Pelodiscus sinensis: one gene and its partner. The main gene of each other region encodes a partner of the protein of the gene in region 2 in a complex. Links are inferred from orthologs where the notes say so. Each region holds a gene or a part of one and is shown on either strand. Other genes may lie near its edges.

Region 1 (7,335 bases), on a different chromosome or scaffold from region 2:
CCTGCTTCCCACATACTACAGTGTGAAGAGGGACTTGGAGGCAATGTTCTCCACTGGAGAGGTAATTCTAGAGGCTCCCACCAACTGTAATGAGATTATTAAGTACACCTCCAGAATAAGGGCCAATATATCTAGAGAAAGGACTATCACACCTACAAAAACTATTCTAGCCATTCCATTTTCACCATGCCTGTGGAGAACATTACTCCTGTCACAAGCAGGAGAGGGGAGCTGCAACAGTGCATGACTGAGCAAATGTGTGAGAATTATTGATTTGAAGTTATGTAATAAGGCCATAATAACCTGAAGTCTAGAAAAAAAAGGTTAACTTTCAAATCACTCAGAATCCAGAAATAGGATCACCACTGACAGCAGATCAGATGGGAAAAGGGGAGAACGTGTATTTACCTATATAAGCTCTCTCTTGCTCACGAGTGAGTCCAGGAGGGATAACAGTGGGCATTCCTGGGATGACAGTCTTCTGCTCCATGGTGTCTTGGTTCCATCTGCTTCTCTTCCGCTTCTTATTAGGGAAATCTAAAGGCAAGCATCCTTTTTTAGACAAACTTTGTATGTTTGAAGGTGTTTCTACAACATAACATAACATAACACAAAAGTTATTAACAGCAACACTGAGCACACAGAATTCCCTTAAATAAAAAATACTGACAAGGCAACCTACACTCCTTCCAATACCAAATCTCTTATAGGGATGAGAAAAGTTGCACACAGTTTTAGTGGATATAATTTCAGTTCAATCACTGACCTGCCAATTGACTTTGGACAAATAACTTTACCTCTGTGCTATGCCGGTTTCCACTCTACTCCCTGTCTATTCAGCCTTTATGTTTTTACTGTCACCGTGTTTGCACAGCACCTAGTACTGTGTGAATGCTATCTATGTTCAGGCCATTGGGTGCTACCACAATACGTAGACAAAAACAAGCAAAAGCAGCCATGTTGCCATGTTAAAAGATGTATTTATTGTCAGCAAATAAGCAAGGGACAAACTCAGTAGACTTGAGTTCAACAGAACAGTGATATCAACTACAAAATTATGCTCCTCAATCAAGCTAGTCAAACCAACTGAAAACAGGAAGGCTCTCTAAAGAAAAAACATTACTCTAGAATCCAACACTATTTTTCTAATAATTTCTGCCACCATTTTTAAAGGGAATGTTACAGTTCTGATTTCCATCAGTAAAGCAACATGGCTGCCTCACAGCACCATTTCACATTCAGCCTCTTTGTACACATTACAAGACCTGGGATATTTACATTGGATGATGTGATGGGAAACTATCTATACCCACAGCAGTTTTCCTTTAACAGTGTGTAGGAAATTGTTACTGCTCCTTTTTTATGCTGAGCTTTCACGTGCCTTCACACAGAAAAGCATTCTGTTATGATTTAAATACAGATTTCCAAAATGAGCTCTTATTGTAAAGATTAGAAGATTAACAGGATTAGCTATCTCTAATCATTTTGCTAAAAAGAGAGACCAGCAAAAACAGAAAGTGAAAGAAGAGACCATGGTAGCTTTTACCCTCATTTCTTCCCAATACTACACAGACCTCCATTTTGGTTGCATGAGTATCTGCTAATGCCTATAAACACCACCAGGCCTCCTTTCTTCCAAGAATACCAATCTCAGGCTGTTCAGTGTTTTGGGACTTCAGTTTTGTGCCCAAAGCTTCCACTGAACAGCACATGCCCACATGTTTAGAACCCCCGTTTTAAGATATCAACACTCAGATCTTTTTTTTCCTCTTGGTACCCACAACCAAGTCTTTCCATCCATCTTCCTAGCCACAAACCCACTCTCCAATTAAGAATGTTCCCTTGCTCAATTCTCTTTCTTCAAAGAAAACAGCCAACACCTCAACCCATCCTGTTCCCCTTCATTTCCCCATATTTGGCTGGTTCATCTTCCACCTAGACTCATTCTCCATTTATCAATCTAGTCTCATCCTACTCCTATTTATCCCCATCTCATTCAACCTTTTATTAGTCACAACCCTTTTCCTCTTTCCCAGTACTCAACACCATCACTTCCTTCCATTCTCAAATATACCTCTTTCCCTGCAATACCCCTACAAAGTGTCAAGAGACGTCTCATCCCATGAACCCTTAAACACCATTTTACCCATTCCACTTCTACCCCATCCCACAATTGCCAAAACTATAACTCTCTCTCCGTTTCAGCCCCTTTAACTCCCCATGGCCATCTCAAAAGCCCCAATGCCTTCACTTTTTCACTGTAACGTCCCCCAAAATTGCCTACCCAGCCTAGACTCGCAACTAGCTTCAAAAGGTGCCGAGCCAGTTCCCTCACCGAACACTGCCACATTTACACATAACACCCACCGCTCCAGCTTCCCAACGTCCATCGCTCCCTCGCAGTGCTTGCCTCTTACTTCTATAGACCCTCATACCGCCCGACGGTTCATCTGCAGCCCCACACCCAACCTACAATTCTTCCTAGCCCCACTCTTATGACCCTCCCTCTCCGACCCCCTTTCGTCCTGCTCCTCACCGTGGTTACTGCCCCCTCCCGGGCCGCTCTCATCCTGCTGCGGTTGTTGCTGCGGCGGCGGCTGCTGCTGCTGTTGCTCATGGCCCTGCGGGGGCGGCGGCGGGGACGGGTAGCGGTACTGCCCGTACTGAGGGGGAGCCTGAGGCCCCCCAGCCTGGGGCGGCTGCTGCTGTTGTTGTGGAGGAGGCGGCGGCGGTGGGGGCGGCGGGGGCTGCGGTTGCTGCGGCGGGGGCTGAGGCTGGGGCGGCGGGGGAGGTGGGGGTGGAGGAGGGGGCGGCGGCGGCAGCGCGGCGAAGGGGTAGGCAGCAGCCGCCATAGGCCCCAGCAAGGCGGCTTGGGCCTGGCCCGGGCCTGGCGGCGGTGGAGGAGGAGGACCCGGGAGGACCAGCCCAGGTGGACCCGGCGGAGGCATCGGGTAACCTGGCTTCCCCGGTGGTGGGGGTGGATGGAGCTTCCCTAGCGGCGTGGCGTTGGCTCCAGTCGCCGCCATTAGAGTCTCCTCAGCGCGGCGTTCGCGTTTCGCGAACCTTCCAGCCTATGCGCCTCACAAAGCTACTCGAAAATCATTGGCCGCCGAGATGTCAGTCGTACGCGCACGTCCTTCTATTGGCAGCGCCATGCGTCCGTTAGCCAACCGCGCTGATACATTGGCCGAGCCGCTCCAGTGAAAGAAAGTCATTGGAGGAGAGGAGACAAGTGCTGAAGGCAACACCCATAGGTCAGATGAGATGTCACTCTCTAGCGAACAGTGATGGGAATGGTTGAGCGGCAGTATGCGTGAGAAGGAGGGATGAAAGACAAGTTATGATTGGTTGACTGGGCATTTAAGGCGCGGTACTTGCAGTGTGGCACGGTGGGCGGGAACACAGTTAGGTTTCCGTGTTAGGACTGGTTGAAGAGACGGAGGGCGGGCTCTCGGGATATCGAGCTGCGTCTGGATTGGGGGAGGGGGCGGTCTTGCGACACTCGCGGCGCGCCTTAGAGGTTTTGCAAAGGTCGTTGGAAGACCCCGTACAGTGCGGGGTCGGTTGGTCGTGACGTTAATGCGGAGGTTTCCTCTTATTGGGCAGAGCGCAGCGCAGTCGCCCATGATTGGTGAAAGGGTCTTTCAATTAACGGAGCATTCTCTGATTGGTGAGTGATAGGGCGGGAGCGATCCTGGGTGCGAAGCTGTGCCCCAGAGCCCCAGTGAGTGCAGGCACCGCCTCCCCCTGTCAGGGGCTCATGGGAGCCTAGCCTCCTCCTCCTCACCCTGCTGCAGCCCGAGGGGCTCCTGGGAACTAGGCTTGGGGAAGGCGGTGCTAGGCCACATCACCTGCACCGTGGTGCACAGCAAAACTATAGGGGTGAGCCGGGAGATGAAGGCTACGGCTTAAAAGCCAGCTCCCCACAAGCACTGACTGCTGCTGCCTGTAACTGCTAAGAACCCAGCGGTTACATGTTTACACAAATACATGTTTTACATCCCTAGTCTTCAGCCCTTCTCCGAGGCTACATTTCACTTGCAAGGAGAGCGTAGTCCCAGCCCACAAACACACAACTGTGTTCTCCTTACCCCTGCCCAGGTCCCAGTGATAGTGGCTGGGACTATTACCCCATCCCATGATAAACAACAGTTCTCATGGAGGAAGAAGGGGGTTTCAGGCAGGACTGAAAACCAGTCCTTACCAATTAGTGTGACAGCAATAAAAACTAGAAAGGACAGCAGTGGACCTGAATAGGCAAAGAGGCCCCAATGGCTCTCCCCTAGGAATGATTCAGCCAATTAACACCAAGCAAACAAAAGACACATTTAATATCAATATATCTCTTAAATAGCATATTTTTTCAAGTTTTGTTTTTTATCCATAAATTCCAGCTCTCAGTTAAAAAACAGAGAAATTAGCAAAACAGAAAGGGAAGCTTCCACTGCCTGAGTTAGTAGAGCTGTTGGCCCCAAGATTCTGATCTCTGTCACAATGGCATTTAGGATTGGCACAGTTTTCCAAGGCAGCAAAAGAACAAGGCATCCCAACAGCCAGCCAGTTTAACACACTGCCTGGTAGTGAAGCAGTCTGCTTCATTTTAAAACAGTCATCCATCCACCCACCCACCCACCCATCTTTTCATGCTCAGAATGCCAACCATGCATCCAGTCTCTCTGTAGCAGATACTCTCAAACCTCTTTTATACCAATCAGCCACCCCACCCTGCGAAGCAATTGGCTTACTCACTAAACAAGTCCCTCACATTGCCTCATCAGCCAAACCCATATTTCCCCTCATTCACCCAAGTATTGCCCCAGCCACTTCCAAACCAAACCACCACCTCATCCTGCTAATCACCACTCCCTACCAACAAGCACTCAACTCTCTGCCACCAAGCCATCACCCAGCTACTTAAACCAGCCAACCTATGCCCAACCAGCCATCACACTCTTCCCCTCATCAGAACTCATGCAGCCAAGCAACCTGCCCAACCATTACCAAAACAGTCAAATAGGTATCCCAGCCACTGATTCAACAGGTTTGTCCCACCTCAAGCTTTGCTTGTTGCTTACACTTTGAATGAGAAGACACAGAATTGCTTTCCCACTCCTTTTGCTGAAGATGTTTGCCAGATTTCTGGACCTTAAGTGCTACATAGGAAAAAGAATGCACCCACTGGAAAATGGATTGTCTTCATGTTGAAGCTGGAGGAGGACACTTTCACAACATGTCTCTCCAGAAGACCCCTTCTTAGGATTAAGAATGGGGTGGGGAGGAGAGAAGAGGAAGCATTCAGCAGGCACAAGTATCAGTCAAGACAGACTAAGGAGGCTTCTTTGGACTGGCTGGTAGTCAATTATTGCAAACATAAGAGTCTCAGGAGATGCTCACTCTAAAAGGGCAGAAGGAATCTCTCCATACACTTCTGAAAAACAGGAGTATCTCAGGAAGACTTTGGACAACAGAAGAGGTGGACTGTAGAGTTTATAAAATAGAATCCATCTGGCATGGATTCCCACAACACAAGATGGACCTTGCTCATGGGAAGAGTTCCCTAGGCTCCTGCTATCTCAGAAATCAGTAGTTTAAATCATCACAGCAGAATTTCCCCTTGCACTGGGGCTCTGCATCCATCCCCATGGGGATGTTGGAAAGGCAGTTCCACATACTCAATAGCTGCTCTCATGCCCCGTTAGGATGTAGAGGTTGCTGTGAGCTAAAGGATTCTCCGTAGGCGTGCTCTCCAGGATTACATCTCTGGAAAGAAATTTCAGGGAGGTAGCTGTGTTAGTCTGTTTCCGCAAAAACAACTATGGAGCCTTAAAGACTAACAATTCATGGTCAGAATGTTTTTTGAGCAGAACAGGACGACTGTTTTGCTCAAAGGTGACTTGAGAGATGTAGCTAGGAATGCAACTCAGCAAAGCCAGCCCCAGCCATGAATGTATTCCACCACCCAATCTAGACCCCATTCCAGTCCCACAGCCATGAATGCAGTCTACCTATCACACAAAACCAAACCCTCTACGCAACTCCAGCCCTCCCCCCTCAACCCAATCACACAACCTTGGCCACCATGCAAAATCAGCCTCTCCAATCCAACCATGCAAAATCAACTCTTGGTTCAAGTGCTGGGCACATTTATCTGACCTCATCATTTCTCATATAAACATAACAGCATTTCATTATACAGCCAGTCCCCGACTTACAAAAGCATCGACTTATGACCATCCACACTTATGACCAACCTCCCATTAATCCCATTACAGCTGGTCCCCGACTAACGAATGCACCATCCACACTTACGAACAGTGTGGCTGTATGTAAAAGCATGTATTTCCGACTTACGAACAAATGGAGTTACAATCAGGTGTTTGGAACGTAAGTCGGGAACTGGCTGTATAAACCCAAACTAAACTCCCCACACATGCTTCTCCCTTAGCAAGATGACAAAAGAACCACCACTTTATGCTTAATGTGCTCCTGGCACGTGCTCTGATACTGCAATGATAAGCACAGCAGCATAACTTCATCCCAGTTATACAAACCCAGTCCCTAATACAGCACATTCACCATGCAACCTCTGGCTTGCCCAGAATGCAGCCCAAACCCTGACAAGCCTGCAAATCCACCCAGTCATGTAACATCCCACAGGATCAAGGGTACAGGATGCACACACTAGAGTGTGCAAGATGGAGACCAGCTACTAAAGTGATCTGGCCTAGGCAAGAGGAAGGAAAAAAGTTCTCAGCTCCTGGTCTCCCAGATAATTTTCCCACTGTCCCAGCCTTGCAGGCTGGCAACAGGTTCCTACCACAGCCAGACTGGGGGTAGCGAGCTATAGCAGGGCAGCCATACCACTTGATCAGAGGGTGGAGACAGCAGGACAAGAATTGCTTGCTGCCATCTGCCATGACTACATCCTCACTTTGGGGTCTCACCTGTTGGCTCCCAGCACACGGAACATCCTGGATTTATCTGTGATTTCTTGGGTCACCTGTCAAGGAGAAGGTTCAGATCAGCACAGAGTTCTCCCAGCCCAGATCCCTACTGGGTCAATGCATCTCCATCCCCTACCCAACGATGGGGATAGATCCTATATCACAGAGTCTCCCTCAGGAGCAATACTACCTCTGCATACATCATCTCCAAGTTATTCCCCCCTGCAGCGTCTGATCCCCCCTCATCTAGGGAAGATAGGTAGATGCATCCACCCAAGCCCTGACCTGCACTCACCTCATTGCTCTCCAGACTGCGGCCCTGCATGCCATGTTTCCAGAAGGCCAGCACACTGTCTTGAAGGCACACTGTGGTGGGCAGGACAGAAAGACA
Region 2 (7,715 bases):
ACAGGAGCCTAGGGAGCCACCTGGAAAACCTCTCAATGTGTAAATATAAAACAAAAGCCTAACAAACCTATAGATGCTAAGATTCACACATGCCATTTCAATAGATTATGCTCACTGGAAGCATACACAGGCAGGGAAACAGATCTGATAACCAAAATATCTTCTCCTTCACACGTTTAAAGTTAACTGCAATATGAAGGTGCCAGTTATATATTAGCACCAATACATTTTCTCCCTGTTTTTTTCTACAAACATCTGCATCATATATTAAACTTTATGGACCAAATATTTTAGGTTTTTTTAGAACAAACAATAGTTCTGAAGGAAGATTAGTTCTACAGTAAAACTCCAGTGGCCCGGCATCCAATGGTCCAGCACTCCTGATGATCCGGCACCATCTGAAACCCGGAAGTGCTCCAGGCAGCCAGACAATTGGAGCTGCTCTGCCCCTCGGCGCTGCGGGACCAACCCGGCAGCACCCCAGCTGCTCTGCCCCAGACATCCAAGTCAGCCGCTGCTGAAACTGACCAGTGGCTGACTCTGGGAAGCCCGGGGCAGAGCACCTCTGCTGCTCTGCCCCAGGCTTCCCCGAGTCAGCTGCTGGTCGCTGCTGGTCGGTTTCAGCAGCAGCTGACTTGAGGAAGTCTGGGGCAGAGCAGCTGGGGTGCTGCCAGGTTGGTCCCGCAGCACCGAGAGGCGCATCCCCCCCGACTCCACCCCAGATCCCCCACAGCCCTCCCTTCCGACAGTCCGGCATATCTGATAATCCGGCACCCCCTGGGTCCTAAAGGTGCCGGATTATCGGAAATTTACTATACTAAAAATGAGTGAAAAAGTTAACCTTATTGCTGCATCTATAGTTGGCAATGCAATACCACAGGCACTGAGACACTAGGATCAGGAAAAAATTGTAATCTACAGGAATTTGAAACAGTATGGAAACTGACTTTATACAGGGCACTTTATCAAGAATGATTTATCCATCAAATTATTAGCATGTACATCAAAATATATCAAAGTAACAAGAAGTAAACAACGGAAATACAAAATCTTAAAAAATAAGTAGAAAAGACACAGAAATGACAAATCTCTGCAAACCAGAATATAATCAGCCATCAAATTTTCTCCAAATTATCACAGAAGTACTTTTTAAAGGATTAATCTTGCACTGATCATCTCAATTATTTTAGCTTTAAAGCTGAAGTAACATCTGATCATTTTAATAGTAGCTTTCAGTATTTTTGTCAGTGGACGTAACTTTTAAACCTCTTTTTAGTTATATAAAAGAAACATATACATATCTACATTGTGATTCCTTCCTTCAGTAATATCTAAGACACAGGTTAAACTGAAAGAGTAATCAGAGAGCTTCTCAATTATTTTTGTCCTTTTATTTCAATGGGCCCTTGCAGATCCTCTTGAATGTGGAAAATTATGATTTATGGAAATATGAAAGGTTTTAAAACAATGAAAAAATATTTAGCTAAGTTAAACATAACACCACTTATGACTATCCTGCCTCATCTACTATTTCAATACACCATCATTAACTTAGCTATCAATGTATCATCAAGTGGTATAGCAAAATGAAAATCACATTAATTATAAACTTGGATTTCAGCTTGCAGATATGCAGAATGGTCAACATCGTAGTGTTGAGTCACTAATATTTTGAAGCTTCAGGGGGTAATCAAGTTAGTCTGTTACAGAAAAAAAATGGTCTGGTAGCACTTTATAAACTAAAGAAATATGTAGATGGTATCATGAGCTTTTGTGGGCATTTTTCCGATCATCTGAAGAAGTGGGCTGTGCCCAATGAAAGCTCATACCATCTACATGTTTTGTTAGTCCCTAAAGTGCTACCAGACCATTTGTTGTAATATTTTGAAGTTCAAGTGAAATAAAAGCAAGGGATAATCAGAGACGAGCTCAGTGGGAGAAGCCAACCCCATACAGAGATGGAGGACCCCCCTCTAAGTCCAATCGGAGTCAGAAAGATGCATTAGCACCCTAAGGTGGAGACTTCACTAGTCCTACTGTAGCTGCCCCTGAAACTTCCTCCCAGGAGTTTCTGAGAAAGGCAAAAGGGAAGGCTTGGAGGATGCCGTCAGGTTCCTGTTGCTCTAAAGACACTTCAGGCACTAGCCCCAGCCCCTAGGAACGGGAGCGGAGTTGTCCCCACTGTATTGCATGTCCACGGGTAGGTGCCCTCTCTGGGATACAGCCGGGAGATCTCGTCACGCCTCCTGTCGCCGCCAGGAAGGTCCCCGCCCCCTTCCCCATTACAGCATGTGACCCTCCGCTTACCATGAGGGACGCTCTATCCACTGCGCCCGGCCTCATCGAGGGGTTCAAGAGGCTGCCCCCGCCACACCTGCCAAGCAGCCTCCCTCTAAGCGGCTGCCGCGACGAGGGACCAAAGGGCATCAGAGGTTCGGGTTCGCCACGGGGCGGGAGCAGCGGGGCCAGGAGGCTGACAGGCTTCCCAGTCGGCCAATCCGGGCGGCCTCCCAACCGGGAACTCTTCGGCGATTGGTCCGTGGCGGAGGCGACGGGGCGAACAGCGTCCCCCGGCGTCAGCTGCATGAGGGGAGGGGGCTTCGGCAAGGAAAAGGGGAGCGGCTGGGGGGAGGCCGCAGCTGCCGCCGAATCCCCGCCCGACATGGCGACCCCCGGCCCACGGACGGAGGCGCGGAGTCTTCCCCGGAAGCCGTACAGGAGACCGTTAGCGGAGCGAGGGGACCCGGCCCGGGCGCGTAGAAAGGCCCCGCGCCGCGGGAGAAAGGGGTCGCGCCGGAATCGGGCGCGCGAGGGGTTCGCGTCAGGCGAGGTAGTGCGCGCCGCTAGAGGCAGGGGAGAGAAAGGGCGCCCGCCGCGGTCTAGCGCGCTGGGGGCCTCCGCTCACCGGGGGAGAGGGCGCGCGAGGGCCGCTCGCGCTGGCCTCCGGAGCTCGCGAGGGGAAGAAACTGCGATGGGGGGGGGACGTGTGGAGGGAATGCTGGGAAAAGGTCACGTGGACGATTCAGGCGGGGCTGAGGAAGGTAGAAGGAACCACTGACACCTAAGGAGGGGGTGCGCGACACCCACGTTCCTTAATCGCCTATCGCTGATGACCTGCACGCGATTCTCCACTGCCCCTCGGAGGCGAGTTGGTAGGCGCCTAGTTACAGACGTTAACTTGTCTTCCCCTCAGTCGACAGGCGTTGGTACGTGCCGAGTTCAGTCTTTTCCATTCTGTTCCGGGTCAGCGGTTGCTGATGGTTTTTCCTGGCCGCCCCTGCACGCGGGCAGATTGGTAGGTGCCCGGTGACGCGGGAGTGGGAGTTTCAACTTGGGCAGCCCCGCCTTGGGCTCCGGCCCGTGTTTTGCGCTTTCCCGCCGGCTGCGCCATGTCTGTGACTGCGGGCAGCAGCGGGCGGCTGGGCCGGCTCAGCAGGTTGGGGGCCACCCCCGGGACGCCGTGGCTGGGGGGCGGCGCGGTGGCGCGGAGCCTGCAGGCCGAGCTGCTGCAGGAGACGGAGGAGGAAGAGGTGGCAGCAGCGAGCGGCGTCTCGGCGTCCCAGGGCGGAGTCCCGCTGCCCCACAAGCGGAATGGCGGGCTGATGGCTCCGCAGGGGGGGGCCCGTTGGCCGGCCCGGGCCTGCTCGATGCTCTGCTGCCTCCTGGCCGTCTCCGCCCTCGCCTTCCTGCTGGCCATCGCTTGCCTCGTGCTCAAAGGTGAGGGGCCCGCGCCGCGGAGCTCCTGCGGGACTGTCGGTCCCGCTCGCAGCCAGGGAGCAGGCGCCTGCTGCCTTTCCCGGCCGCGGCCGGGACCCGTGGGGAGAGCGGGGACCCGTCCGAGCGCCGCGGCTGCCCCGGTGGAAGGCGCGGGCCTGGCGAAGAAGCAGGAGGAGAGGGGAGAGTGTATTTGCTGGAGCTCAGCCCCTCCCTCCCTCCGGGGGGGCCTGCCCTATACACCATGGGGGGGCTTGGCCACGCTGGCCCTCTCATGGTAGCGAGCTTGATTAAGATTCTACACTGACCAGAGCTGTGCTGAAGCAGGAATGTAGCCCAGATCTCCTGGCTCCTCTGCTTTAAGCTGAGTGTTTTCTGAGCTGGTGTCCTTAGACTTTGCTGAGGAGATGCAGCAAAGTGAGCCCCTGCTGAGTGGTGGTTTCTAAAATTGCTGTGTTAGAAAATGCTTCATAACTCATTTCTCTCTCTCTGTAGATTTGCGCTCTGAGAAAGAGAAAAATGAAGATGGCATAGAAACTGGCTTGTTAGGTATGCATTCATATGGTTCTTTCAGAGCTCCTGCAGCTCAGAGGAGACTAAAAACACTTTGTTATTTATAACAGCCAACTAGAGTAAATATTCAGATTCTTTGGACAAATGCCAGAAGCTTGTGTCTACTTGATTGCTTCTCCTAACCATAACTGCCACATAACAGGCAATGGAGAGTATCTTGGCTGGCCAGAATCCAATCATGTAAAACTCAGAAGAAACTTTTTATGTTAAGCACATATTTCTCAGCATATATTGGAATACAGAAGAAATTAATATCCTGACCAAAAATGTTAAATAACAATTAATTTACCATGATAGAAATGTAGCCGTGTTAGTCTGGTGTAGCTGAAACAAAATACAGGACTATGTAGCACTTTAAAGACTATCTTGTTAGTCTTTAAAGTGCTACATAGTCCTGTATTTTGTTTCAATTAATTTACCAGTTGAGTAGTTGATGGACACTTCCACATTCCTCCTTTGAAATGTGCAAGAGCCTCCGCTGGGCCTCTTACACATTTCAGAATTGAAACTCTGTGTGCCGGGGCCAGTGGGAAGTCCCGCTGACTCTGGGCTCCTTGGAGGTTCTTGTGCATTTCAAAGTGGCAGCACCCGCTTGGAGTCTTGGGGTCAGCAAGGGACTCCACATTTCCCCAGAACGCGGGATCAGCTGGGGACTCCCGAGCTCTGTGCACTTTAAATGCTGTTCTGGAGTTCCCAGCTGAGCCTGTGCTCCATTCAGCACTGCCCCTTTGAAGTACCCCCTTCCCTCCCCTTTGCTGCCTCTATCTGATCGAGGCAGCAAGGGGGAGGGGAGGATCGACTAGTCCTTAACCTCCTTAGTCCTGCCTCGCACCAGGTCTAACAGCCCCTGTATGCGGGAGGGCGGGAGTCCCAGCAGGAAGCTGTGTCCACATGGTGTCCAGTTGACCAATATTCAAGGCTCAACAAATTATAGAAAGAGCAGAGACACTAAAGAGCCCCGTCCTGGGCTGCTACCTACTCTGCTTCTCCTTTCACTTCCTCTGCCCCCGTGCTCTGCTCCCTGCTCCCTGCTCCACTCCCCGTCTCCCTCTTGCCTTTTCTGACCTCCTCTGTCTCCTGTCCTCCTCGGCTCTCACCCTTCACTCCTCCACCCACTACAGTGTTCTAGCTCGCTCCTCTGTTCTCCCCTCTCCCTCCGTTACTCTCCTCCGTCTCCTCTCCCCTCTGCCTTCCTCCATTGCTCTCCTTTTGATTGCGGCGCTTTCTTGCACCGGCACCTCTCCCCCTGATGTCAGGACGCATGCACACTCTGGCCCCGCCCTAAGCCCTCATGTGGCCCCGCTCCCATCGTAGGACGCGGGGCGGCTCAGCCCCATCACAGCTCGCCAGCTGCCAAAATCTACTCGCCATGGGCGAGCGGATTTGTTGAGCCCTGCCAATATGAATGTAACTTTGTGTATCTGAGGTTCCACTGGTCCCTCTAGCCCAGTGTTCTGTCTTCCTACAGTAGCCAATACAGGATGCTTAGTGGGGAATGAACAGAAAAGGATACTTAGTAATTCATCCCCTGTTGCGTGGCCTTAGCCAGAGGCTTAGGCTATGTGTACACTGACAATTTAACGACACAACTTTTATCTTTCAGGCTGTGTCTGCACTTTCTCAACAAAACTTCTGTTGTTCACATATGCTTTTAAAAAACAGTGAATGACAAAGTTTTGCTGCAGCAAGTGCACTTGTGAATGCTGCTTTGTCGACAGGACTGCTCTCTTCCTGACACAGTGAAACCTGCTTGTTGGGATAGCCTCAGAGGTGGCAAAATGCTTCTAAGTTCACATATGCTGACTTTTAGTGACAGTGCAGTATTGACACAGCCACTAAAAGCTGCATAGTGTAAATTAGCCTCAAGTATTTTTTTTAAAAAAAGAAAACCTGAAAGTCAAAAGTTTTGCTATGGCAAGTACTAGTCTGAATAGTGCATTGTTAGCAGGAACTCCTGCCAACAAAGGTAACCTTGCTCCGGGATGGAAGTATTTTGTCGTCAAAAGAACTGACAAACAGCAGCTACTCTGCTTGACTTACTAGAAATGCTTTGTTTCAGTGATGTAGAACATTCATGCTATATTGCAAATGTGTGTTCTGTGAAACTCTTCTGAAATTCGGTGTTATAGTAACTTTTCTTTCTCCCGCTACTCCCAAGGATTTTGGGGTCTGTTTGTTTTAGCCTTGATGACAGGGCTCTCGTGCTGCAGCTTTTCTTGGACGGTGACTTATTTTGATTCCTTTGAACCAGGAATGTTTCCTCCAACTCCACTTTCACCTGCACGATTTAAGTAAGTAATTTAATTGCAAGGATTGGATTATCGACTTATTTATTTACAAGACATGGTAGATACAATTCGAGCAATAGCTGTGACAGTTTCATATTGCGTCTTATGTGATCTGGAGACACAAGAATTGGATAAGTTTTCTGTGTATACATATGTTAATGGTGAAAAAAATACCAAGCACAGCTTGGTATTTATCTGGTATAGTCCTATTGTTTCTGAAATCTTTGAAACAGATTTCAAAAAAATTAAGTACCCTTTAGCATGCAAGACTTCAAAATAACTTTCTTCTGGCTGAAGAAAGTTTTAATGTGTTTCCTGAAGTTAGGGGTCAGTTAACACTTATCTCTGGTGTATCCTGCTGAGTTGGGTCTCAATAAGGCAATTTATGTAAATCAAACTTAAGCAACTACACTAAAATGTTACTCGCATCAGTATATCTTGCTCTCTGAAATTAATTACCATCACTACAAGAGGCATAGAATCTAAGTTGATGTATTAGATCAGTGTTTCTTAAACTTTTTAAGACCAAAGAACACGAAACAATTTTTTTAATGAGGAACTCCAAAGGTGGGGTGTTTTTTTTTTCTTTTTCTTTAGCCCAAAAAAAGGTGTGTTTGGGAGGGGGTTATTGAGCCCCCCCCAAAAAGACAGCCATTTTGGACTCTTGTTCTCTATGGCACACATCCGACTGCCTTGTGGCACACATGGAACACAGTTTAAGAAACATTTTATTAGATCAATGATGTATTTAGTGTAAACACAGAATTACTTACATAGACAGTTGCTGCCTTTCAGAAACCATCCCAGAATGTCTCCCACTGGCAATTAAATAAGTGCAGGCACTCCTGGTGAGGATGTGCATTGTTGATACAAAGAGTGTAGTATGGACATTATAAACTGATTGTATCACTGTGGTGGCTACATGTTAGTTTGATTAATTTTGAATGTAAATGAGCTCAATTGAAAATTCAAGAAGTGCGGATTTACAAATCTCGTGCTTCATTTGTACAATCGCGTGAGAGTGCCTTTTCGAAAAAAGGGTTTTTCAAAGAAGAAACCACAGTCTAGACAGGTTCTTTGGGGGGGGGGAGGGATTTTTTAAAAAAACCAATACTCCTCATTTTTTCCAAGAGTACAGAT

What was found.
Region 1: the proteins of PRPF40A (region 2) and SF1 are in contact, whole or in part, in an NMR structure (PDB 8PXX), measured with the Homo sapiens proteins. The link is inferred for Pelodiscus sinensis from reciprocal best matches to the Homo sapiens genes PRPF40A and SF1. Residues at the interface, in NP_001352526.1 of Homo sapiens: His164, Ser166, Tyr172, Tyr174, Ser181, Thr182, Trp183, Tyr213, Tyr215, Ser222, Arg223, Trp224; in NP_004621.2 of Homo sapiens: Pro575, Pro576, Leu577, Pro578, Pro579, Gly580, Ala581, Pro582, Pro586, Pro587, Pro588, Pro589, Pro590.

What each region holds. Positions count from the first base shown.
Region 1 is NC_134721.1:35,855,635-35,862,969, forward strand, and holds the start of SF1 (splicing factor 1), read right to left. Parts: upstream 3,111-7,335; 5' UTR 3,027-3,110; coding exon 2,537-3,026; intron 538-2,536; coding exon 409-537; intron 1-408. Other genes in the region: MAP4K2 (mitogen-activated protein kinase kinase kinase kinase 2), read right to left, coding at 5,673-5,760, 6,945-7,000, 7,240-7,310. UniProt on the Homo sapiens protein: Necessary for the ATP-dependent first step of spliceosome assembly. Binds to the intron branch point sequence (BPS) 5'-UACUAAC-3' of the pre-mRNA. May act as transcription repressor.
Region 2 is NC_134717.1:28,834,307-28,842,021, forward strand, and holds the start of PRPF40A (pre-mRNA-processing factor 40 homolog A), read right to left. Parts: upstream 3,210-7,715; 5' UTR 2,665-3,209; coding exon 2,308-2,664; intron 1-2,307. Other genes in the region: ARL6IP6 (ADP-ribosylation factor-like protein 6-interacting protein 6), read left to right, coding at 3,390-3,717, 4,210-4,263, 6,446-6,582.